Linked DNA regions of Arabidopsis thaliana. The protein of the gene in region 2 purifies or fractionates together with the protein of the main gene of each other region. This does not show direct contact. Each region holds a gene or a part of one and is shown on either strand. Other genes may lie near its edges.

Region 1 (4,870 bases), on a different chromosome or scaffold from region 2:
ATGTTGATGAACGGATTCTATAAAAATAGTAATATTTAATATCTGTTATCCAGTCAGATATATTTAAAACAATATAAGAATTTAAATTGACAAAGAAAGATAAATCTGATTAACCACGGAATATGTGTGTTTAGATTGGTAACGTATGATTAGACACATCAATGCTATTTAAAAGATGCATATGATGATAACTTTTAGAAGTGAGAAGGCCTTTGGATTATTAGGGATTACAAATAGTAAACTTATTATAGATTACTTGAGAAAAGAGATTCATTAAAACAAAATTTGCATAAAGTAAGAACCAAACTAGAGGAGCTTATTCCAAGAAGATGCATTTTACATTTAAAAGGTGCATGTAATTAATGTCTGATAACCATAACTCATTAATTATTCTAATTCAGCTAAAAGCGAGCCTAAACCCATTACACAGAGAATTGCACGAATCACAAGTACACAAATTGATAGAACATTTAGACTTTAGAGGTTGATATTTTTTGATAAACTATAGTATTGATTTATGTTATTAATTGGGTTGTGTAGCACGAGGACTTCTTTGAACATGTGAAATGAATATTGACTTTACGTAAAATCGACCATGCCCTTTAAGTGTTCCTCAAGTTCATACAAAAACAACAGTCATACTCTTATATGTATATTATAACATGATTTAAATTTGAACTATGTTTATTTAACTATATCCTATATATAATTATTACGATTGAGAGATGAGAAAGTTTGTTACAGATGAAGAAGAAGATATTTTCCCCTTAAATTTCTGTAAATGTATTTTGTACAAGTATATATACGATGACAATACAACCGGTTAATATAACCCGCGTAATACAAAATCAATTAAACCGATAAATTAAATCAACACTCTCTGATATGACCCCTCAATATGAGGATTCGAAAATGTTGAGAATGCTCATCTTGGACTTTAGATGTTCAAACTGATGTGAGAACAAATGTTTAGCAAAATATCAGCTATTTGATCATCCGTGGGAACATGAAGCAGTTTAAGCTCACCATCATCCAACTTGTCACGCACGGTATGGCAGTCAATCTCAATATATTTCGTGCTCTCATGGAAGATATAATTGATTGCAATATAGATAACATCTGTACTGTCTGAAAACAAGATAAGAATCGAAGTAGTATCCGTTTAAGATACGAGCAATGTATGCAACCAAACCAACTCACAAGTAGCAAGAGCTAATGCTCAGTATCTAGAAATAACATGTTGCTTCTTAGATCGACATGAGATGATTTATGAAGAAATTTGAGCTTTGATGGCTCTAATACCATATTACGATCGAGAGATAAGAAAGTTTGTTACAGATGAAGAAGAAGATATTTTCTGATTAAATTTCCGTAAATGTATTTTGTACAAGTATATATACAATGACTATTCAACCGATTAACATCACCGTAATACAAAATCATCTAGACCGATAAAACTAACCTAACACATTCTGATAATAACAAATATGAATTTATTGATTTTCTTTTAATTAAGAATAGCTCGTTCAACCAAATGTTGACATCTTTTTTTTTTTTGAACACTACCAAATGTAGACATCTAGTACACTAATTCAACCATGTCTGTCGTCTAATACTATTTCGAGTAGTGTGTGATATGCTTAATATATAAAAAAAACTTGTTCACGTTTCTGATTTTAAAACATAGACTGACCAAAAGCTCACAACACACAACTAGATATAAAGCCCAGGAGTCAAACAAAGAACCTGATTCGTTATTTTGCCGCACAAGGCCCAAATCAAATTAGTGATGTTACTTGAACAGTTCAAAAAGAACTGGGATTATTATGCATTCAGTTTATAACTTAAGGGGTTATTATGTTATTAACCCGTTTACTTTCGTTTGGATTTTGGAATTAGACGCGAAGCTGTGAAATCTAGAAGAAGAAGAAGAAGAAGAAGAAGAAGAAGAAGAAGAAGAAGAAGAAGAAGAAGAAGAAGAAGAAGAAGAAGAAGAAGCAATGTCAGCCATGGGAGCAGGACCAGATCACCTCTTCAACCTCAGAAACAATTTCTATTTGGGAGCTTATCAAACGGCGATCAACAACAGCGAGATCGCCAACCTCTCGCCGGAAAACGCCGTGGAACGTGACTGTCTCGTCTTCCGATCTTACATCGCCCTCGGTAGCTATCAGGTTACTTCTCTAATCATATCGATAATGTCTTCTTCTTTAGATTCGATTACGTTTTGTTTTGATCTGTTCTTCCAAATTTTGGTGTGTATAAGCTTGTTATCAGTGAGATCGATGAATCAGCCGCTACTCCACTACAAGCAGTCAAACTCCTCGCTATGTATCTATCGACTCCTCAAAATAAGGTAATTACGGCTTTGATTCGTGTTCACGAAACATGTTGTAAAGAGATTCAAATGCTTATATGGAACGATTGTTATTGGTTCAGGAATCAACAATTTCAAGCTTGAAGGAATGGTTAGCAGATTCAACAATAGGAAACAATGATACATTACGATTGATTGCTGGTATTATTTTCATGCATGAAGAAGATTATAATGAAACTTTGAAGCATACTCATGCTGGAGGAACTATGGATTTGTAAGATTTTTTCGATTTTTATTTGGTGGATTGAGTATTTATACTGTGTTTTAAAACATGTTCTTAGATGGCTCATTGCTATTGTTTTTCTAGGTATGCCTTGAATGTTCAGATATTCATTAAGATGCATAGAGCAGAGTATGCTGAGAAGCAGCTTAGAGTGATGCAACAGATTGATGAAGACCACACTCTCACTCAACTTGCTAGCGCTTGGTTGAACCTGGCAGTGGTATAATGCGAAATATTCAATGTGTTCTGGCTTATTCTTTCAAAGAGTTGTGTATTTGCTTCTTATGCTAAGGCGTTATTTGATTTCAGGGCGGTTCGAAGATACAGGAAGCTTATCTCATTTTCGAGGATTTTTCTGAGAAGTACCCAATGACATGCTTGATCTTGAATGGCAAAGCTGTTTGCTGTATGCAAATGGGTAACTTCGATGAAGCTGAAACACTACTTCTTGAAGCACTCAACAAGGTAACTACAAATTAGGCTTGTGTACCTTAAATTTGCTCTGTACATTAGCATTCTCGGGAACAATATGAAACTAGGGACCTCTCTAAATTTCTCACACTGCACTTGTCTCTTGGCTTTTCTGTATATGGGGAAGTGTGTTTATACTAATTTGTGGTGATTGCAGGATGCTAAAGATCCAGAAACTCTTGCAAATCTTGTTGTGTGCAGTCTTCATGTCGGGAAGTCTTCTTCACGCCACCTAAGGTAAATTTTCATTATCTACTCTTATATTAGGCATCATTTGCCCAATCAATCAGTAGAACTCACTGAAAAGTTAATCGAGAGTAACTGTGTCCTTAATCCTAATAAAAACATTGGTCGGTCTCGTTTGTTAACTTCATTTGTATCACCTATCCTTCTTGCAGCCAGCTAAAACTTTCACACCCGGAACACATACTTGTGAAGCGTGTATCATCAGCTGAAGATAACTTCGAGAGAGCAGTTCAATTGGTCGCCTAAAGACTCTTCCATGGTTCAAGCTAAAAGACGTGCAGGATTTGTTTGCTTTACCGCATATTTTCACCGGGTTGGTAAATCTACCAGAACAACCATACTGTCTTGTCTTTTCGAAACCAGTATATGAACCAGCTTTTGCCATTAGATATGTTAAGTTACATTTCATTACTTGAAAATATCAAATTCCACCTCTCGCACTCTCAATTCCGTTTGTCATTTACTTAATTTCGAACCTAACCAATCCAGATCGTGTAACTCAACCCGAAACCTTGAGTGAATTCAACCGATCGTTTGAATCCAAACTAGAAATACCAAAACAAACAAAAGCTTCTCACTTGGAAATACTTCAATTTTTTTCCAACCAATGATTTTCACTTTTTACACAAAGAAGCGACATATGTCTTCCGTTAGGATTTTGATAAACCTCAATCACAATAAAATAGGTGATTGACATGGATGATATTTTATTAATCAATAATCTCATATATAATCTCTATATATGGATAAGATGAATACTATTCTACTAAGAATAAATCCATCTTCTTCTACTACCTTCACTACCATCTAGAATCAAGACTCTAATGAAGGAGTCCTTGAAGGGCAATGCTCACATACCTAATGCATAATGGTCAGTATGCAGAAACCAAGGAAGAAGATCCATAGCCACTGCGATGAAGCTTTTGCCATCTCCATGCCATCTTTAAACTTTCTTGAAGATTGGTGTGCTTAGCTGTCCAATTCAGCTCTTCTTTGATTTTTCTTGGATCGCTGTAAACCTCTGCGTAATCTCCTGCCCGTCTTTCCAAGTAATCGACTTTTATATCAACGCCGGTCGCCTTTTTGCACGCTTCCACAAACTCCTTCACCGAGCTACCTGCTTGCACAACAATTAATACCACATTCTCTGAAATCCATTCACTTCACTATCCTAGAATCTTTGCCAAACATCTAATTTTATACCTTTCCCGGTACCAACATTGAAGATACCAACTTTGCGGGGTTTCGCCTTTTCAAGAGCTTTAACATGAGCATCAACCAAGTCGGTGACATCAATGTAATCACGTACACAAGTCCCATCAACAGTCTTGTAGTCTGTTCCTTTAATCTGCAGATAAAAACCAAATAAACTTTTAACAGAGATTATATGTGGTGATTACGCACAAAAAAGAGCCTGGTAAATACCTGCAGCCCGGGAATGATGCCTCGTGCAGCATCAAAGCAAGCACCAGAGATCCGTCCATGCTCACTGAGTTCAGGTCTTGGAGCTTCACCTAGTCTACCCTCAGGATCAGACCCAATCACATTGAAAT
Region 2 (7,479 bases):
TAAGATCCACTCGCAAACGATGGAACGGTTTATTCAAATTCCTAGTTTGCTTTTTCTACTTGAGTCCTTAAGTTTGTATTAGAGTCTTCAGTATACTTCATACCTTCTTGTTCAACCCAATTCCAACTCTTCAGTCTCTGCTACATCTTCAAACTCCATCAAGCCTCAAACTAATAATCTTTCAAGTGAGATTATAAATCTTCAAGCTTCTTGGATTGGATATATCAATAGACTATAAAAGCTAGTAGAAAAGAGTAGAAAAGCTAGTTGAGGATTTATAATAAGGTAAATAAGTAGAAAAGACTTTTATAGTCTATTGATATATCCAATCCATTTACTTGATCCATCTCTGTATGCAATCTGACTGACAAATTGTAATTGTTAAACTCTTTTTTACTAGCTTTTTTTAACTCTTCAACATTAAAAGTCTAGAAACAGAAGACAACTATTTACTACATGATATTTTTGGTTATTTGTTAACAAGAAGCACTGTGGTAAAGCAGCCGAGGATGAATAATTTTAGTGTTTGTTTGATGAGTGTTAATCTTCATGGAATCCATAACCACAAAGATTTGGTTGATCCATCTATATAAAGCAAATAGGTGTAGTTAATCAATTCAAGGTCTTTTAGTGTTATCCCTTGCCAAGGAGGGCAACACTAGAGTCTAGAGTTTCGTTTTCCACTTGAGTCCTTCTGTTGGAGACAGTGTCTTCATTACACTTCCTAACCGATTCCAAAGCTTCAAATTTCATCAAACCTGCAACATAATGATGACTTCACAATGGTGTCGAGTGAGCTCCATTAAAACATGTATAGGCCTAGGATTCAGCATAATGATGATCAAGCGCTATCTTGAGTGCATTGTAATTTGATGAAAGAAGTTGACTTGACCAGTGGCAACTAGAGGCTGGAGAAGAGGATTGTCCCAAGTTATAACCTAATCAAAGCTGGTACGTCTCGAAGCATGATGATAAGCTGGTATTGGAGATTACTGTTTTTGCTCCAAGGAATGTCATATCAAGAAACTGTGCATTGTTCTTGTACCTCGCTAGCATCTTCCTTTGTTGGTTACATGGTTTGCTATTCCAACCAAGCTCTGGTACTATAAGGCAAAAGGAAAGGAGAAGGAGACCATTAACTAGTCTATATTACAACAATACATTATATGTTTCGTGGATATCTCTTTTTCTTATCTTCTCTGCTGTTTTCCTTTCTTTTGTAAAGATTGTTCTTTGAACATGAATCAATACACTTTAGAATCTATTAAGATAGCAAATAAGTTGATGCAAAGAGCAAGTGTGAGATGGATAATTGAACGGGAGTGAATGAACCTGTCACTAGATCTCTAATGGTTGTTGTTACCTCCTGGCTCCTCCTCAGCTGCCTAAACTGCGTTTAGCTCGGCCGCCTATCACTTTTTTTTTGTGTGTAGGTTTGATTGGTCTCTCTCATTCAGAATCATATGATCAATTTGTTTTCAAGTTTTGCAATGTTTTTGAAAACATTACATTTACGCTAATTGGATTTTTAAACTCGATAACCGTGATTACAAATAGAGACGTAATATTTTTTAGATTATTTCTCATGTTTTTTTGTGATTTGTTCATCTTATGCATAATTTATTTTTCACTTATGTTCAACAATAGTATACAAAAATTTAGAAATGCTCATCATATATAAAATCACTTTTGACGTTCTGAGGCTCCAATCTATTAAAAATAAACGATATAGATGATAATATATACGTCTTTTAATCAAGTGAATGAATATTTAGTTTTTTTTTTTTTAATAGGCTTCACTTTGTTTCTTACTCAGTTTAATTTTTATTTGGTTTTTATAAAATTACAACTTAGTTTTAATCAAAGGTTCTAAATTAAATTTGACCAAAAACATAAAAAAATAATTACGTAAGAGCTTTTTTGGCAGAAAATAATTTAGAGTAATTATTTATTCCTTCGACGTTAAAAAAGAATAGGAAAAAATATGTTTAAATTGCATCATTCGACCAATAAGATTAGAACTCATCCTTTTTTTTTTTAAGGATATATAGAATTCATCACTGAATACATGTTTTTATCCCAAATTAACGCAAAAGAGAGAACTCGAGATCTGGGCATAGCGACTCACTCAGATCTATACACCTTCTTCTTCTTCTTCTTCTTCCTCTTCCTCTTCGCTTCGTTCGTAAACTCATCTGATCTGTGGTAACCACCATTGTTCCTCTCCTTACGATTTCGAATTTCTGTTTTGATCTCACTACCATTGTTGCAATTTAGATCTATTTCTAATTGTTCGTGATTCGCTTTTTTTTTTCTGTGATCTGGTTTTTGTAGAGTGCCATTATCGTTGAGAGATTATGTTGACAAAGTTCGAAACCAAAAGTAACAGAGTTAAGGGACTGAGTTTTCACCCTAAACGACCATGGATTCTCGCGAGTTTGCACAGTGGCGTGATCCAGCTCTGGGATTATCGTATGGGTACTTTGATCGATAGATTCGACGAACACGAAGGACCTGTTCGTGGTGTTCATTTCCACAATTCTCAGCCTCTCTTCGTCTCCGGAGGTATATATAATTCGGAATCATTGTTAGTGAAATCGTATAAGCTCAAAAGAATGGATCTATACATGATTTGTTGCATTACAATGATGTTGATCTTGATATTGCAGGGGATGATTACAAGATTAAAGTGTGGAACTACAAAAACCACAGGTGCCTTTTCACTCTTCTAGGGCATCTTGATTATATCCGCACGGTTCAGTTCCATCATGAGTACCCATGGATTGTGAGTGCAAGTGATGATCAAACTATCCGTATATGGAACTGGCAATCACGGACTTGTGTTTCTGTATTGACTGGTCACAATCATTATGTTATGTGTGCTTCTTTCCATCCGAAAGAAGACCTCGTCGTATCAGCTTCGTTAGATCAGACTGTTCGTGTTTGGGATATTGGTGCTCTTAGGAAGAAGACTGTATCTCCTGCTGATGATATCATGAGGTTGACTCAGATGAATAGTGATCTTTTTGGTGGAGTTGATGCCATTGTCAAGTACGTTCTTGAAGGTCATGATAGAGGTGTAAACTGGGCTGCTTTTCATCCCACCCTGCCTCTTATTGTCTCGGGTGCAGATGACCGCCAAGTAAAGCTGTGGCGTATGAATGGTAATTATTTGGTGGTATACTTTTGTGCTTACAATTTTTATATGCTATCAATCGTCAATGATGTTACTGATATGAAAATATTCTGCATGCCTTAATCCTTAGATGAATCTCGAAATTGCAAAGACGAGTTGGTAACATGTTTTTAACGATATCATTGCAGAAACTAAAGCTTGGGAGGTGGATACATTGCGAGGCCATATGAATAACGTTTCATCTGTTATGTTCCATGCAAAACAGGACATAATTGTATCAAACTCTGAAGATAAGAGCATCCGTGTCTGGGATGCTACCAAGCGAACTGGACTTCAGACTTTCCGTCGTGAACATGATAGATTCTGGATTCTTGCAGTTCACCCTGAGATGAATCTACTAGCAGCAGGACATGACAGTGGCATGATTGTGTTCAAGCTTGAGAGAGAACGTCCTGCATTTGCTTTGAGTGGGGATTCTTTGTTCTATGCCAAGGATAGATTCTTGCGGTACTATGAATATTCAACTCAAAGGGATTCCCAAGTTATCCCTATACGGCGTCCGGGTACTCCAAGCTTGAATCAAAGTCCTAGGACTCTATCATACAGTCCCACTGAAAATGCAGTTTTGATCTGCTCAGATCTGGATGGTGGTTCGTATGAGTTGTACATCATACCGAAAGATAGTGTTGGCAGGAGTGACGTTGTGCAAGATGCAAAGAGAGGGACAGGTGGCTCTGCAGTATTCATTGCCCGTAACCGATTTGCTGTTCTCGAGAAAAGCACCAGCCAAGTGCTAGTCAAGAATCTAAAGAATGAGGTGGTTAAAAAGAGTCCTCTGCCTATTCCCACAGATGCTATCTTTTATGCTGGGACTGGGAATTTGCTTTGTAGATCTGAGGATAAAGTAGTTATCTTTGACCTCCAGCAAAGGCTTGTTCTTGGTGAGCTTCAGACACCATTTGTTAGGTACGTTGTTTGGTCCAGTGATATGGAGAGTGTTGCTTTGCTCAGCAAACATACTATCATTATCGCGAGCAAAAAACTTGTTCTCCAGTGCACGCTTCATGAGACGATACGTGTGAAAAGTGGAGCTTGGGACGATAATGGTGTCTTCATTTACACAACTTTGAATCATATCAAGTACTGTCTTCCTAATGGAGATAGTGGAATCATCCGAACCCTGGATGTCCCAATCTATATCACCAAGGTGTCTGGTAATACAATCTTTTGCTTGGATCGGGATGGCAAAAACAAGGCTATCACCATTAATGCAACCGAGTACATTTTCAAGCTTTCACTGCTGAGGAAGAGATATGATCATGTCATGAGCATGATAAAGAACTCTCAGCTATGTGGACAGGCTATGATTGCTTACCTGCAGCAGAAAGGATTCCCTGAAGTTGCCCTCCATTTTGTTGAAGATGAGAGGATCCGATTCAATCTGGCTCTTGAAAGTGGCAACATCAGTGTGGCTGTTGCATCCGCTACACAGATTAACGAGAAAGACCACTGGTATAGACTTGGAGTGGAGGCTCTTCGCCAAGGTAATTCTGGAATTGTTGAGTTTGCATACCAGCAGACAAAGAACTTTGAGAGGTTATCTTTTCTTTATCTCATTACTGGAAATTTGGACAAGCTTTCAAAGTTGATGAAGATTGCAGAAGTGAAGAACAACGTAATGGGACAGTTTCACAATGCTCTCTACCTAGGAGATGTTAAAGAGCGTGTTAAGATACTGGAGAATGCTGGTCATTTGCCTCTAGCTTATATCACAGCTTCGGTTCATGGTTTAAATGACATTGCTGAGCGACTGGCAACTGAGTTAGGAGACAACGTGCCCTCATTGCCTGAAGGAAAAACTCCATCGCTTCTAATGCCACCGACACCCATCATGTGTGGTGGTGATTGGCCTCTTCTTAGAGTGATGAAAGGAATATTTGAAGGAGGACTTGAGAGTGCAGACAGAGGAGGTACTGTTGATGAAGAAGATGTTGAAGGGGATTGGGGTGAGGAACTTGACATTAATGTTGATGGAATGGAGAACAGAGATATTGAAGACATTTTGGCGGCTGCAGAAGCAGGTGAAGAAGAAAACGATGAGGAAGGTGGATGGGGACTTGAAGACTTGGTGCTCCCACCAGAGCTTGACACTCCTAAAGCCTCTGCTAATGCACGTTCATCTGTTTTTGTGACACCTCCCCAAGGTATGCCCGTAAGTCAGAGCTGGAGCCAGAAATCTTCTCTTGCTGCTGAGCAAGCCGCAGCGGGAAGCTTCGACACTGCAATGCGTCTGCTCCACAGACAGCTTGGTATCAAGAACTTTACACCTTTGAAATCGATGTTTCTAGATCTGTTCAATGGCAGCCATAGCTATCTGCGTGCTTTTTCTTCATGTCCTGTGGTTCCACTTGCCATTGAGCGTGGATGGAGCGAGTCTTCCAGTCCCAACGTCCGTAGCCCACCAGCTCTTGTTTATGATTTCTCTCAGCTAGACGAGAAGCTCAAATCCGGCTACAAAGCTACAACAACTGGGAAATTCACTGAGGCTCTCCGTCTCTTCCTTTCTATCCTGCACACCATCCCTCTAGTGGTAGTCGAGACAAGAAGAGAAGTGGATGAGGTCAAGGAATTAATCGTTATCGTTAAAGAATATGTCCTTGGTCTTCAAATGGAGCTCAAGAGGAGAGAGATGAAAGATGATCCGGTGAGGCAGCAAGAGCTCGCTGCTTACTTCACTCACTGCAACCTCCAAACACCTCACTTACGGCTTGCGCTGCTTAGTGCAATGGGTGTCTGCTACAAGGCAAAGAACCTCGCCACTGCTTCTAATTTCGCCAGAAGACTGTTGGAAACAAGCCCAGTTGATAGCCAAGCCAAGATGGCTAGACAAGTTGTGCAAGCCGCTGAACGTAACATGACCGATGAAACAAAGCTTAACTACGACTTCAGGAACCCTTTTGTGGTATGTGGTTCCACATATGTCCCGATCTACAGAGGACAGAAAGACGTCTCATGTCCTTACTGCACCGCCCGGTTTGTACCAAACCAGGAAGGAAACATCTGCACGGTCTGTGATCTAGCAGTGATTGGCGCAGACGCATCTGGTTTGTTATGCTCTCCATCTCAAGTCCGGTGATCAATTTCAGATTTCATAATCAATACAGAGATGCTCTATTAACAGAATAAGAGTGTTGAACTTTTGGTGTTTTTGTGATTGTGTACTTACCAATCAGGTTTGAGGATTTTTCTCGTTGCAGGTTTTTATTACTCTTTTAAAAGTTGTTTCTTATCTTTTAGTACACATGAGAACTTTAGCTTCTTGCTTTATAATTTCTCTTTTTGATGCATAGTAGCACTGGATAACTTGTAATTTCAATTTCGGAAATTATGGTTTACTTGTGAAATTATGATTTTATAAATTCTCCAAATTTTTGAATTTTGTGAGTGTCGTTCCTAATTACAAATTTATCTACAACGAAATGTACCGATAAAGTCCAATGTATTTTTTTAATTGAACCGATAGTAAACCAAATTGTTTAGTCAACTAACTGTAGTTCTAGGGAAAGATAACACTGTAACATGTTGATTGCTAAATAGTTTTTTCTCCTTGCATGTTTTATCAATCGAGCTTTTATAAAAAGATTGATCCGACAGAACCCGACGCAACTAAACCGATAGTAACACAAAAACAGAGACACATCAGAGAACACTAATCTCTACGTCAGTGCTGAGAACTCATAATTTCCGTAGCCTCTCCGTTGTAGATATTCGCGATGACCAGCTGTGTTCACCTTTGTAGACAAAAAATAACCAACACAAGATGTGGAACAAAATTTTGAACCAGACGACTCCAAAACTATTTTGTGTGGACAACGCTTCTTGCAATGAGAGCAAATAGGTCGAGTCATATGATGATCGTTGGCCCGAACATATATCTTCTCTCCATTGAAGGAGAAGCTTATCCAAGATGAACCAGGCTTCACGTATAAATCCTGCCCAAGCAGACATTCAATGTGTAGGGTGACGCAACAGTACTCACCACACGTATAAAACCGCTCCTTTGGGTCTATCTCTTGCTCGCAAATATCACACCAATAAGTCGTGATGCATGTCTCCTCGCCATAAGAAAGAGTGAGCATATGTTTATCATGCTCATACCTTACCTCTTGAGGTAAAGTGGCGCATCCAAAACACAAAGCAAAGTAGTCACACTCAATGCAATTGAATGTTTCGTTTGTTGAAAACTGTTCTAACTTTTTGCAAACGGAACATCTTCTTTGCTCTTCTGGTTTCGATGTTAGGAATAAAGAATGTTCATGACTTTTATGGACTAATGGCTCAGA
Region 3 (4,360 bases), 2.5 Mb from region 2:
GCGTCTCTCTCACCTGCTTCACTTCTCCTACAATGATTTTCGTAACACTAATTAGCATAAAGTTTGCAACTTTATTTGTTTATCTCGTTAAAAATTGAAACTTTACCATAAACTTGGAAAATGTGACGGAGAGTTGAGGAAGAGACGGTGGGTTCTAAGTTCATAATGACAAGAGAGCCTTGATTGTTTCCTTCAGGAACAGCATTGAGTTGAGGAAACACGAAATGGGCCCAAAGAGAATGACCGGAGACGAGTCCACGCGCCGTCGTGAAGTGGAAATGTTGTTGTTGTTCCTGTTGTTGCATGTGACGGTAACGTATCTCGTTAAAAGCTCTTTGTGAGTTTATTAGATTGTAGAAATGGAAAATCACGATTCCTTCATGTGCTCTTTCCATTTGGACTCCACGGACTTCACCGAATAGTTCCATGTCTCGTCTTAGAGATGTCTCAGTGACGGTAGCTGGGACTTGTAATAACATCACGGCTCTGGTTGGTGTTACTGAAGTCGGTGGAAGATGAGGAGGAGGAGGAGGAGGAGGGAGAGAGAAATAAGAAAAGTATAGCGGCGGCGGCGGAGGAGGAGGAGGAGGAGGGGGATGAGGGAGGAAGAATCTTGTCGGAATTAAGGAGGGGTTTTGGTTTTGGTGTTGGTTTATCGCCGGAAAGAACGCCGGAGCTGTTGGGTTAAGGTTTGTTGGGTGACTGAATGGTCCGGTGACAGACATTGTTGGTTTAGAGGGAGAGGTGATGAGTTGGGAACTGGTTTTTCCGGTGACAGGTAATGACTATGGACGTTTGATATTCTTCAGTGATCGTACTATTTCGTCTCTCTCTACCTCTTTATTTGGTGCCAAGGGGAGGGAGAGGGAGAGAGCACAAAAGTGGAATTTTTGTTGGTTTTGTTTTTATTCTGCAGAGATTTCTATTATTATTTCCCAATTTTTGTTTACTAACAAAACAAGTCAAGGTTCTTTAATTTAATGGTGTACTAACTCGTTCGAGCAATTTACCATTTTGTCCTTTGAGAGGGTTTCATTGCAATGGACTGATGGAAAATGCAGAGTATTCAAACAATTGTAGAGGTTTTTTTGTTAATAATCACGAGAAGAACATAGGTTACATAACAAAGTCTCATTCATTTTTCTATGTTGATTTAGTTTTTAAGATAATCAAATCATGTTTTTCTCTAAAACATTATTTACGAAAGAATTTTTCTTGTTTAAAACAAATATCATAGTTAGATTTTATGCCTAGGAACACAATTTTCGATTAGTTGGGTACCATTATCCATGTATCATACTATATAGAATTTGTATTTGGGTGCAATAGTTCGTAATGTCGTGTTCCCCAATTTCACCGCAAAAGTGCATGGGCCGATTTGTCGTGTCTCTCTCCATCTCAATGCAAAGTGTAAACTATCTAAGCCTATACATTTCTAAATAATCTGTAGTATTGTTTATGTTCCATAAATGTATAGTGACAACATTCCTTTTGACGTAAAAACAACGAATAAATCTCACCCACATAGACATTACATTACATTTAGCCCATATTAGCCTAATCTAGCCTTTTGTTTCATAGATTTTTATAAGTTTTCTACAATCTCCTATCACAAAAGAAGGATTAGGGAGGCCCTCTAGGTCAGATACGTAATGGTTTGGAGCTATGGAGTTTGACATACGTAATATCTGTCTATGTACATATAATAAACGCATGTCATGTAAATATAGTTATAGTTCGAGGGTAGGACCAAATAGGGACCAGGGCAATTCCTTGTTTTAAGGAATGTTATTGTTACCTACTTCCTTGTTTTGGGCTGTCATTTGTTTTTGTCATGTTTATACCATATCCTTCATTTATTACATAAACTACATTCTCTAGCTAATAATAAAAAAAGTGTGAAAACGTGAATATCTTCTATATATTATTTCAGAATTCAGCTACAAAAGTTAAGAATAAATTATGAAGAAACTTTGTTGATTCATCATGATGTGATCATAATGATGAAGACATGAAGTTATACTTCAAAAATTTTATCAACTTTTGGTTAGTAAATTATTTTAGTGATTTTTTATGTGTTATTTATTCAAAATTTAAAATGAATGTTTATATGATTTTCCACTTTTAAAAAATAAAATTGAGAATGGTTGGTATGCAATGAGCCAATTAGTGATTGAAACGAAATATCAAACTTTTATTTGTTCGATCCCATGGTTACTTGACCTTACCACGAGACCGGTTGGGCTAATGAGAGTAAAAGAAAAATAGGCATATTGGGCCATAAGCCAAAGGCCCACGTAGTGCATATTATTCTTAGCTCTTTCTTCAAACAATTTGATTTACGAATCTGCCATTTCTAACGATTTAGGGTTTTACTCAGTACCATGTCTCGACCGTTTTGAATCTCAAATCTTAACACTCTTCTTCTTTGAGCTCTCACCTTTTACCATCCGAGATCTGTATCGGATCGAACCGCCGAGAGTGAAGAATCAGAGATGGCTTTGGCTTTCGATGAGTTTGGCCGGCCGTTCATTATACTAAGAGAGCAAGATCAAAAGACTCGTCTTAAGGGCATCGATGCTCAAAAGGCCAACATTTCCGCTGGTAAAGCAGTGGCTCGGATTCTCCGATCCTCTCTCGGTCCCAAGGGCATGGAAAAAAAATGCTTCAAGGACCTGACGGAGATGTCACCATATGTTAGTTTCTTCCTTTTGAATCTCATCTCTCTTAGGTCTATCCCTATGGCTCTTGCTTTGAACAGTGGATTGCAGCCCATTGAAACACTCTCAGCTGTAAAATCTCAGCAAATTAAGGTAAGTGATTGATGTGTTTTGTCTTTGTTTACTTTATATATTGGCTTGTTACTGTGAAAGATGGGTTAAGTATTGGGTTTGTTGTTGAATATTCAGGAGAGGAGAACATTCCATTCTACGGGATTGATTGCAACGATGTAGGGGCTAACACATGAGGGAACAAAACATGTTTGAAACGTTGATCATGAAGCAGCAACAGATCGTACTTGCAACACAAGTAGTTAAGATAATCAAGATCGATGATGTCATCTCCCCATCAGAATACTGATGAATGATAGTCATGTTTGGATTGTTTACGTTTTCTTGCAAGCGTATTTATGTAAGAACATTCCACAGATAATTTTTCACTGTGGTTAGGTGTGCTGATTTTGAATTTATTAAGCTTGCGGTTTTCTTTCGACATTAGAAGACTTAAGTGTATTGATTCAGGGATTGAGTTTTGATTGGTCCCTCATGTTCAAAGCGATGAACATTTATGAGTTAAGAAAAATAGGACTGTTAGAGGTTGATGAAGTTGAACATTAATGGAGCTGAGTAATCATTGGTTTGTATTTTGTAATGTTTTGATAGTAAAAATTTTGGTGGGTCGGGTTAAAACGTTTACATGCGTGAAAGTCAAATAACGTTCTGTACCTTTTGTCTACTGCAGACAGTTGTCATGAATGCTTCATTATGCTTCTTTGTTTGTTTGGTTAAAACCAATTTTGATCATGTTTGGATCTTGACAATGTTGCATTTTGATATAACATATTGTTTTTATATAACTATAACCGTCGGTGATCCGGGTCAGCATCGTATTAGGGATCCAAAACTAGTTATTTAACCACATGATCCGACTTAAGCCGTTCGACTAATCTCAAAAGCAGTTGTTCGACTAATCTTAAAGGTGAGTCAGTTCTACTGAAAAATCTACTATCTAATAATGGTCGTCAAATATTTTGAAACGGCTATGAGTGTAAGAGTCTACTATTAAAGCATGTTGTTTGAATCATAATCATAATCAAATCTGATTATAGTTAGTTGCTCCCGAAAAGGAAATTAGTTCGTTCTCTAGCACTTGCGCATTTTTCATCTTCAAAACACCGATTTTGAAAGTTACTATATTTGACATCTTTTTTGAAACGGCATTTTTCAAACTGCAGTAATGTAGTACTCTAAGATTTATTTCACATTTGTAACAACTTTTTTTTTTTTTTTTATATCTTAGTTTTGGTTTGCCACATTTTCCGGTTCATTTTTAGTATATAGATTTTATTTTTATCTTACACTCTGTTATTCGGTAAAATTCGCTTCACTATCATTTTTACTCATTACTGTGTTTTATTTTCTTCTGTATAGTAAATTATCTATCGTAATAATGTGTTAGATTAACCAAATGATTAGCTACACACTTGTTCGAGGTAGTTTTTTTTTTCTTTGGTACTGAAAAACTTGCAAGTGTGCCATCATTTGGTACACGGTGATATATTGATTGAGATTCACTTAAAGTGAAACATGACTCTTCTTAGAACATGTTACGATGAACGTGAAGGTTGTGTCCCATTCCT
Region 4 (6,004 bases), about 14 Mb from region 2:
GTGAAAAGGTGACCCCAGAATGCCCCAAACCTGGTGAAAGGTAACCAAATCTTCTAAAATGTGTCATCATTCGTTCCTAGAAGCTGTTTTTTTGTACTAACACGTCCATGTGATCCCAGGTTTAGGCTGCTGAAAGAGCAAGAAGCAAAGAGACGTCGAGAAAAAGAAGAGAGGCAGAAAGCTGAAGCAGCTCTATCTAATCAAAATACAGACAAAGCACATGAACAAGATGAAAAATCTGATACAGCCATTGTCGCTGAAGATGATAAAAAAACAGAACTTTCTGCTGTGGATGAAACATCCGATGGCACAGTAGCTGTGAATGGGAAGCCATCCATTCAAAAGGACGAGACTACGAATGGGACATTCGGCATTGGCCATGATACAGAACAACAGCATTCTCATGAAACAGAGAAGAGGTAAAGACTCATGTTTTCATGTCTTAAGGCGAAGCCAAACAAACAAAGAGGAATTGAGATTTGAATAAGACGAGGAGAAATCTTGGTACTCAGGCCTTGTAGTCCCTCTGCAACAGATTTCGAAGTTTATAGATCTTAAGAGTGGGAAACATTAGTCTTCAGGGTTTAGATTTTGTGTACAAAGACCATAGCAGATGGGTATTTGAAGCCTTCGAAGCTTGGTTTCATATTTCTTATGTTCTTATGTACAAGCAAACAATTACTTTTGTCCTCGTTCACTGGTGTTACACTAATACGATAATAGTTTAGTCTACAGTATGAGACCTGCATCAGTTACTAAATCGAAAAGAAAATGCAAACGAGTGCTTCGATCTGTGGACAAGTACACACAAAAATTAAGATCTGACGATGTTCTTAAATAGAAGGTTGCAAAACAAAGGGAACAAGTCAAGGATAACGATGTCGAAGGGTATCAAAAGCTAATAGAAAGCAAACAAAAAACACCGAAGAAGCCAAAGGTTAGGACAAAGGTAGCAACAAATCAGTATTCAGAATTGGAGATGACATCGTCGATCTTTAGAATCATCTTAACGACTTGCGTAGCTAGCAAAATTTGTTGCTGTTTCCCGATCAATGTTTCAAACACATTTTGCTCCCTCATATCGTTTGTTCCCACGTCATTGCAATCTATTCCATAGAAGGGAATATTCTCCTGTTCATCAAAACCCAATGTTTGTTCAGTCACCGAACAAGCAAGTCAATGATATAGATAATAAAGTTCGTCGTTTACTAACCTTAATTTGCTGAGATTTAACCGCAGAGAGTGTCTCAATGGGCTGTAATCCACTGTTCTCTGCAAGAGCCATAGGGACAGAGTCCAAAGCTTCTGCAAACGCCCTAATTGCATACTGTAAATGAGGAAGTATTTATACATGATTAGTATTCAGAGTTACAATTTGAGAAACAAATGATTTCATTTCAGGGTATCAAAGAGGAAAGATCATATTTTACCTGCTCCACGCCAGGGTATTTATCAGCAGCTGCATCAACCGCAAGTGAGCAAGCGATTTCAGCTGCCCCACCTCCATAAACAATTGATTTGTTGCGGATGAGATTCCTAGCCACACACAGAGCATCGTGGATACTACGTTTCGTCTCTTCTATCATCATTTTGTTACCTAAACCATATTCCGCAACAAATCGTTGGATCAATCAGTTATACAATATCGTTGTCCACCATATACTTAGAAGGCATTAGATTCAGTACATCGATGTTTATCTCTCATCAGCTATTCAAAAGTCAAAACAGTGCTGCTAAAGTGCTAATAAGTACAAAAGACAAGGCGATTACCTCCACGGATGAAAACAGTGACAGCTTTTGAGTTCGCACAGTGCTCAATATACAGCATTCGTTCTTTTGTTGTGCCAAAAGATTTCTCACGAACCACGCCAGCCTAAATATATCAGGAAATGTTGGGTTTCAATGGTCTGTTTAAAATCTAATTAACATTTTACAAGCAAAACCTAGTGAAAGTAAAAAAAATACCTTCCCTAACTTCTCTGGGGTCAACTCCTGGAATCTTGGAACAATTCTACCGCCTACAAAAAGAAAAATTTCTGATCAGCTTTGCATAACTGATACAAACACTAGCATTAGATGCTTAAGAGTACTTTACTTACCTGTGGCTATTGCGATAAGTTCTAATTCAACACCCCCTACCCATCTGACAGCAGGCAAATTCCTGTGCATCAATAGATGGTTTGCCTCATCATCGAATCCCCATTGGCAAATAACCAGCGTAGCACCAACATCCTGCAAAGTTAAAATCATAAGGGTCATACATAAATCATATCATAAAATGCATTGTGGTACTAATGACCATTGTCAAAAGGATTTCTTCAGTAGCTTACTCAACATCCAACTGACAATATAAATTAATACAAATTAAAACCTACCTTGCACTTTTGTACCATCTCATCGAAATATTGCTGCTCTTGCTTGCGCAATGTCTCAAACTTTTCCACTGTATCAATGTCCACCTTATGCTTAGTCTTCGGCTTCGGTGGCTCAAAGGGACAAGTCAAAATGGCAATGTGGGCATCTTCAATCTGCTTTGGCATTTGCGGATGACTCATATCTTTGTCAATCAGTATTCCATAAATAAGCTCAGTGTCCTCCAACTTTCCCCCAACTTTCCCCTCTACTTTGATCAGATCTAAGTTAACATCCCTCCTCTCTAAATCAGCAACAGCAAGAACCGCTTTAACAGCAATCTCAGCTAAGCTGCGCTTGCATCGATTCACACTGTAACAATGAGCAAGAAAGAGTTAAGACAGTATACTATAAACCAAGTAAAAACAAGCAACAACTATTGAAAAGTAGCCTGAATATCAAAAAGGAACATTACATCTTCGAGGACAGAGTAGTCATGCAAGTCTGAACCAGAGGCTCATAATTATTAACATCGAATTCAAACTTTTGGGCAATACGCTCCAAATGCTCAACAGCCACCCTAGAAGCCATCTCATATCCTTCAGCAATACGAATGGGATGAATTCCTCTATCTAACTGACGTTCAGCTTGCTCAAGAAGTGCACCAGCCATAACAACAACACCTGTTGTTCCATCACCAATTTCATAATCCTGACTCCGCGACAGTTCCACCATTAGTTTCGCAATCTGGTTGTCAACATCCATTTGCTCCAATATCGTAGCACCATCGTTTGCTGCAAAAGCAAAACAAAGGCGAGGTTACAAACAATATACAAGTAGTAGTAGAGCTGAGCTAAGTTAACAGACATAGCGAATCGATTTTCAAAAAGTAGATGGATCTATTCATCAAACTACGGCATCAACATAGTAAACACTATGCCAAGTAAACAAGAGCGAAACTAGAAATTTAAAAGCAGATATGAAGAAATCAAAAGGAAGAAACGAACTGATGGTGATGTCTCCGTCAGGTCCTTGAAGCATCTTATCCATTCCTTTGGGTCCAAGAGAGGATCGAAGGATCCGAGCCACGGCTTTACCAGCGGCGATATTGGCTTTCTGAGCATCGATTCCTCTAAGACGAGTCTTTTGATCTTGCTCTCTCAGTATAATGAACGGACGCCCGAACTCATCGAACGCCAGCGCCATTTTCGAGCTTCTCTCGATCCGATCGAACTATAGATCTTGGGTTTTTTTTGTTTCCTAGTGCACTGGAGAGGAAAAAAAAAAGTTGAAATGGGGAAAAAAGCGAGAAGAAGAATGTCTGGAAGATTTGAGAGCTTAAAGTGGTCGAGTGTAAAACCCTAACTCGCTGTTGATGGCAGAATCGTAAATCGGAATTGATTCATGGGCCTAACAAGACGTTTGGGCTTATGGGTTTAAAGCCCATCTGATATAAGATGAATAGAATGTTCATGGCAATACTATCATAATTTGGTTCTTTAATAAGACACTCGTTAATACGACGATTTGAAGTTGAACGAATGGTTTCATATTCATTCGCATGTTCACCAATCAAAATCTATATCTGAACAAGTCCATTTTTAGGTACTCCAGTAGATTTACATTGGATTGTAAGGTAATCCTACATCTTAGTTCAAACGTTTTCTATTTTATTTTTGGTCTTGATCACAAAACACAACTATATATACATATCAAACTCATCTTCGGAAATCATCACAATCAATAAACCTCAAACCCTAAAATAAATTAAACGAGTTCTACGTAAGAAGGAGAGAGAGAAGAATGGGTCGCCAAAACATTGTCGTCGTGGTTGCCCTCGTCTTCATGGCCATCATTGGCCTTGCCGCAGCTGCCTCCTCTCCATCTCCTTCAGCGTCTCCCTCCAAAGCTCCAGCTGCCTCCAAAACCGATCATGTCGAGGCTCCAGTCACCGATGACCAAATCGGAACCACCGATGACGATGCAGCTCCTACTCCTGGTGACGGTGACGTTGCAGTGGCTGGTCCTCTAGGAAGTGACTCCTCGTACGACAATGCGCCTACAGGCTCTGCTGATTCTGCCAAAAGCGGTGCGGCAGCTCTTGGCGTCTCTGCGGTCGTCGTTGGTGTTACATCCATTGCTGGTTCTTTCTTGTTACTCTAAGTTGGGCATTGTTTTATGATAAGAAGGTTATTTTAAACGAAGATTATTTATATGTAAGGATGATTGTGATGATCTTGTTGTAATTTGTTTCTCCTTTGTTAGGAGAAACGTTGTCTTTGTAATAATACTGAAAAAAAAAACTTTTCACTAACGGTGTTTAGATACAAAATTCTGAATTGAATATAATAATATACGATTTCGGGGTCAAAAGCCATAATAATTAATTAAGTAAAATTGTAACCATCGTGTATAAATCTTAATCAAAATGCAAACAAAAAAAAAACAAGAAAAAAATATCCTAATCAAAATGCATATATTTATGCATTTAGGGACGTTAAGATTACTCAAACTCTCTATCACTAGAGGAGATGATACAAGATTTAAGACTAGCCTTTGCCAGAGAATCAGCCAAAGTGTTCTCGGATAGAAATACCAAATAAAAGAAAAGGACATATTTTTTAAACTCCAAATAATAACTCAAACTAATAGACTAGATTGAAAATAAGTTTTGTCTCCAGAGAAAGAAAATATATTACATTGGAATTTTAAAGGTGTGAATGTGATGAGGAGCCAATTTCATGGTTGGGTTTGGGGAGCTTCCACTATAGAAGCTCAGCGAGGGACCCATACAAGGAGTGAAGGAAGAGCCGTACGCGTAGTAGTGTATACGGGTTCGTATTGGTGTGTTGCACTTTTGGTCCTAAACTCAACTAATAATACCTATTTTCTTTTTCTTTTTCCTTTTTCTTTTTCGATCTCTTTCTTTCTTTAGGATCTCTTTAGTCTTATCTATCAAAATACCACTTCGTATTTGGGGTATTCCTATCAATAACCAACCATACAAAGCATCAATGCATCATTCTCATATTCATATATCATACTTGATAAAGAAAGTTCCATATTCACTGACTGTCCAGATATTTATTATTTGAAAAGAAAAAAATTGTTCAACGATTTAAAGAGAAGTTTTTGAAATGACCATGTAAAAAGTGATGATTTTAAAGTAAAAGAGATCAAAAGGCATAGGAGTGCTCTTTCGAACTTGACACCTATTGCAAGATATTTAAACTTTCGAGAATGTTGCTCTTCTATGATATTTTCATTAAAATTTAAATAAAGAAAATAAATATCCTCATTTCAACTTGAACCACCACTCACAAGAGTCTAATCAACACTTAAAATCATTTTGTTCCAACAAATATCTAAGTTAATTCAAAAATACTTATCAAATTATAGGGTATATATTTAAAACAAAATTCTAAAATTCCATAAGAACGCCTACGAACGTACCAATCTAAGGCCTTGATTGGAGACATATATAAGTGCGTATTTCAATAGCTTTTTTGGAAAACCTCAATATGTCACCAATCACAGTTATTTTGTCAATTGCGTTATTTTTCAGAAAACAAAAAAAGTAATGTTGCGTTTTTTAAAGTAAGAACATTAATCAATGAAAACGCACTTATTTATCCAGCAAGTAATAAGCAGC

Evidence for each region.
Region 1: the proteins of AT1G62020 (region 2) and AT2G34840 fractionate together in Arabidopsis thaliana (co-fractionation; one large-scale study listed by BioGRID). This does not show direct contact.
Region 3: the proteins of AT1G62020 (region 2) and AT1G67760 fractionate together in Arabidopsis thaliana (co-fractionation; one large-scale study listed by BioGRID). This does not show direct contact.
Region 4: the proteins of AT1G62020 (region 2) and AT1G24510 fractionate together in Arabidopsis thaliana (co-fractionation; one large-scale study listed by BioGRID). This does not show direct contact.

Annotation. Positions count from the first base shown.
Region 1 is NC_003071.7:14,700,603-14,705,472, forward strand, and holds AT2G34840 (Coatomer epsilon subunit), read left to right. Parts: upstream 1-1,885; 5' UTR 1,886-2,000; coding exon 2,001-2,174; exon of another isoform or gene 2,175-2,266; coding exon 2,267-2,356; intron 2,357-2,439; coding exon 2,440-2,591; intron 2,592-2,684; coding exon 2,685-2,820; intron 2,821-2,909; coding exon 2,910-3,065; intron 3,066-3,228; coding exon 3,229-3,308; intron 3,309-3,469; coding exon 3,470-3,563; 3' UTR 3,564-3,769; downstream 3,770-4,870. Other genes in the region: MEE25 (NAD(P)-binding Rossmann-fold superfamily protein), read right to left, coding at 4,190-4,434, 4,521-4,665, 4,743-4,870. UniProt on the Arabidopsis thaliana protein: The coatomer is a cytosolic protein complex that binds to dilysine motifs and reversibly associates with Golgi non-clathrin-coated vesicles, which further mediate biosynthetic protein transport from the ER, via the Golgi up to the trans Golgi network.
Region 2 is NC_003070.9:22,917,457-22,924,935, forward strand, and holds AT1G62020 (Coatomer, alpha subunit), read left to right. Parts: upstream 1-2,030; 5' UTR 2,031-2,205; intron 2,206-2,334; 5' UTR 2,335-2,357; coding exon 2,358-2,565; intron 2,566-2,669; coding exon 2,670-3,164; intron 3,165-3,324; coding exon 3,325-6,272; 3' UTR 6,273-6,568; downstream 6,569-7,479. Other genes in the region: AT1G62030 (Cysteine/Histidine-rich C1 domain family protein), read right to left, coding at 6,853-7,479. UniProt on the Arabidopsis thaliana protein: The coatomer is a cytosolic protein complex that binds to dilysine motifs and reversibly associates with Golgi non-clathrin-coated vesicles, which further mediate biosynthetic protein transport from the ER, via the Golgi up to the trans Golgi network.
Region 3 is NC_003070.9:25,404,408-25,408,767, reverse strand, and holds AT1G67760 (TCP-1/cpn60 chaperonin family protein), read left to right. Parts: upstream 1-2,349; 5' UTR 2,350-2,495; coding exon 2,496-2,813; intron 2,814-2,909; coding exon 2,910-2,954; 3' UTR 2,955-3,452; downstream 3,453-4,360. Other genes in the region: TEL2 (terminal EAR1-like 2), read right to left, coding at 1-27, 107-725.
Region 4 is NC_003070.9:8,684,544-8,690,547, forward strand, and holds AT1G24510 (TCP-1/cpn60 chaperonin family protein), read right to left. Parts: upstream 3,704-6,004; 5' UTR 3,559-3,703; coding exon 3,360-3,558; exon of another isoform or gene 3,260-3,359; coding exon of another isoform or gene 3,220-3,259; exon of another isoform or gene 3,147-3,219; coding exon 2,828-3,146; intron 2,725-2,827; coding exon 2,376-2,724; intron 2,233-2,375; coding exon 2,100-2,232; intron 2,019-2,099; coding exon 1,966-2,018; intron 1,874-1,965; coding exon 1,771-1,873; intron 1,598-1,770; coding exon 1,431-1,597; intron 1,328-1,430; coding exon 1,214-1,327; intron 1,132-1,213; coding exon 961-1,131; 3' UTR 728-960; downstream 1-727. Other genes in the region: ALB4 (OxaA/YidC-like membrane insertion protein), read left to right, coding at 1-40, 120-423; BCP1 (homolog of Brassica campestris pollen protein 1), read left to right, coding at 4,156-4,515. UniProt on the Arabidopsis thaliana protein: Molecular chaperone; assists the folding of proteins upon ATP hydrolysis. Known to play a role, in vitro, in the folding of actin and tubulin.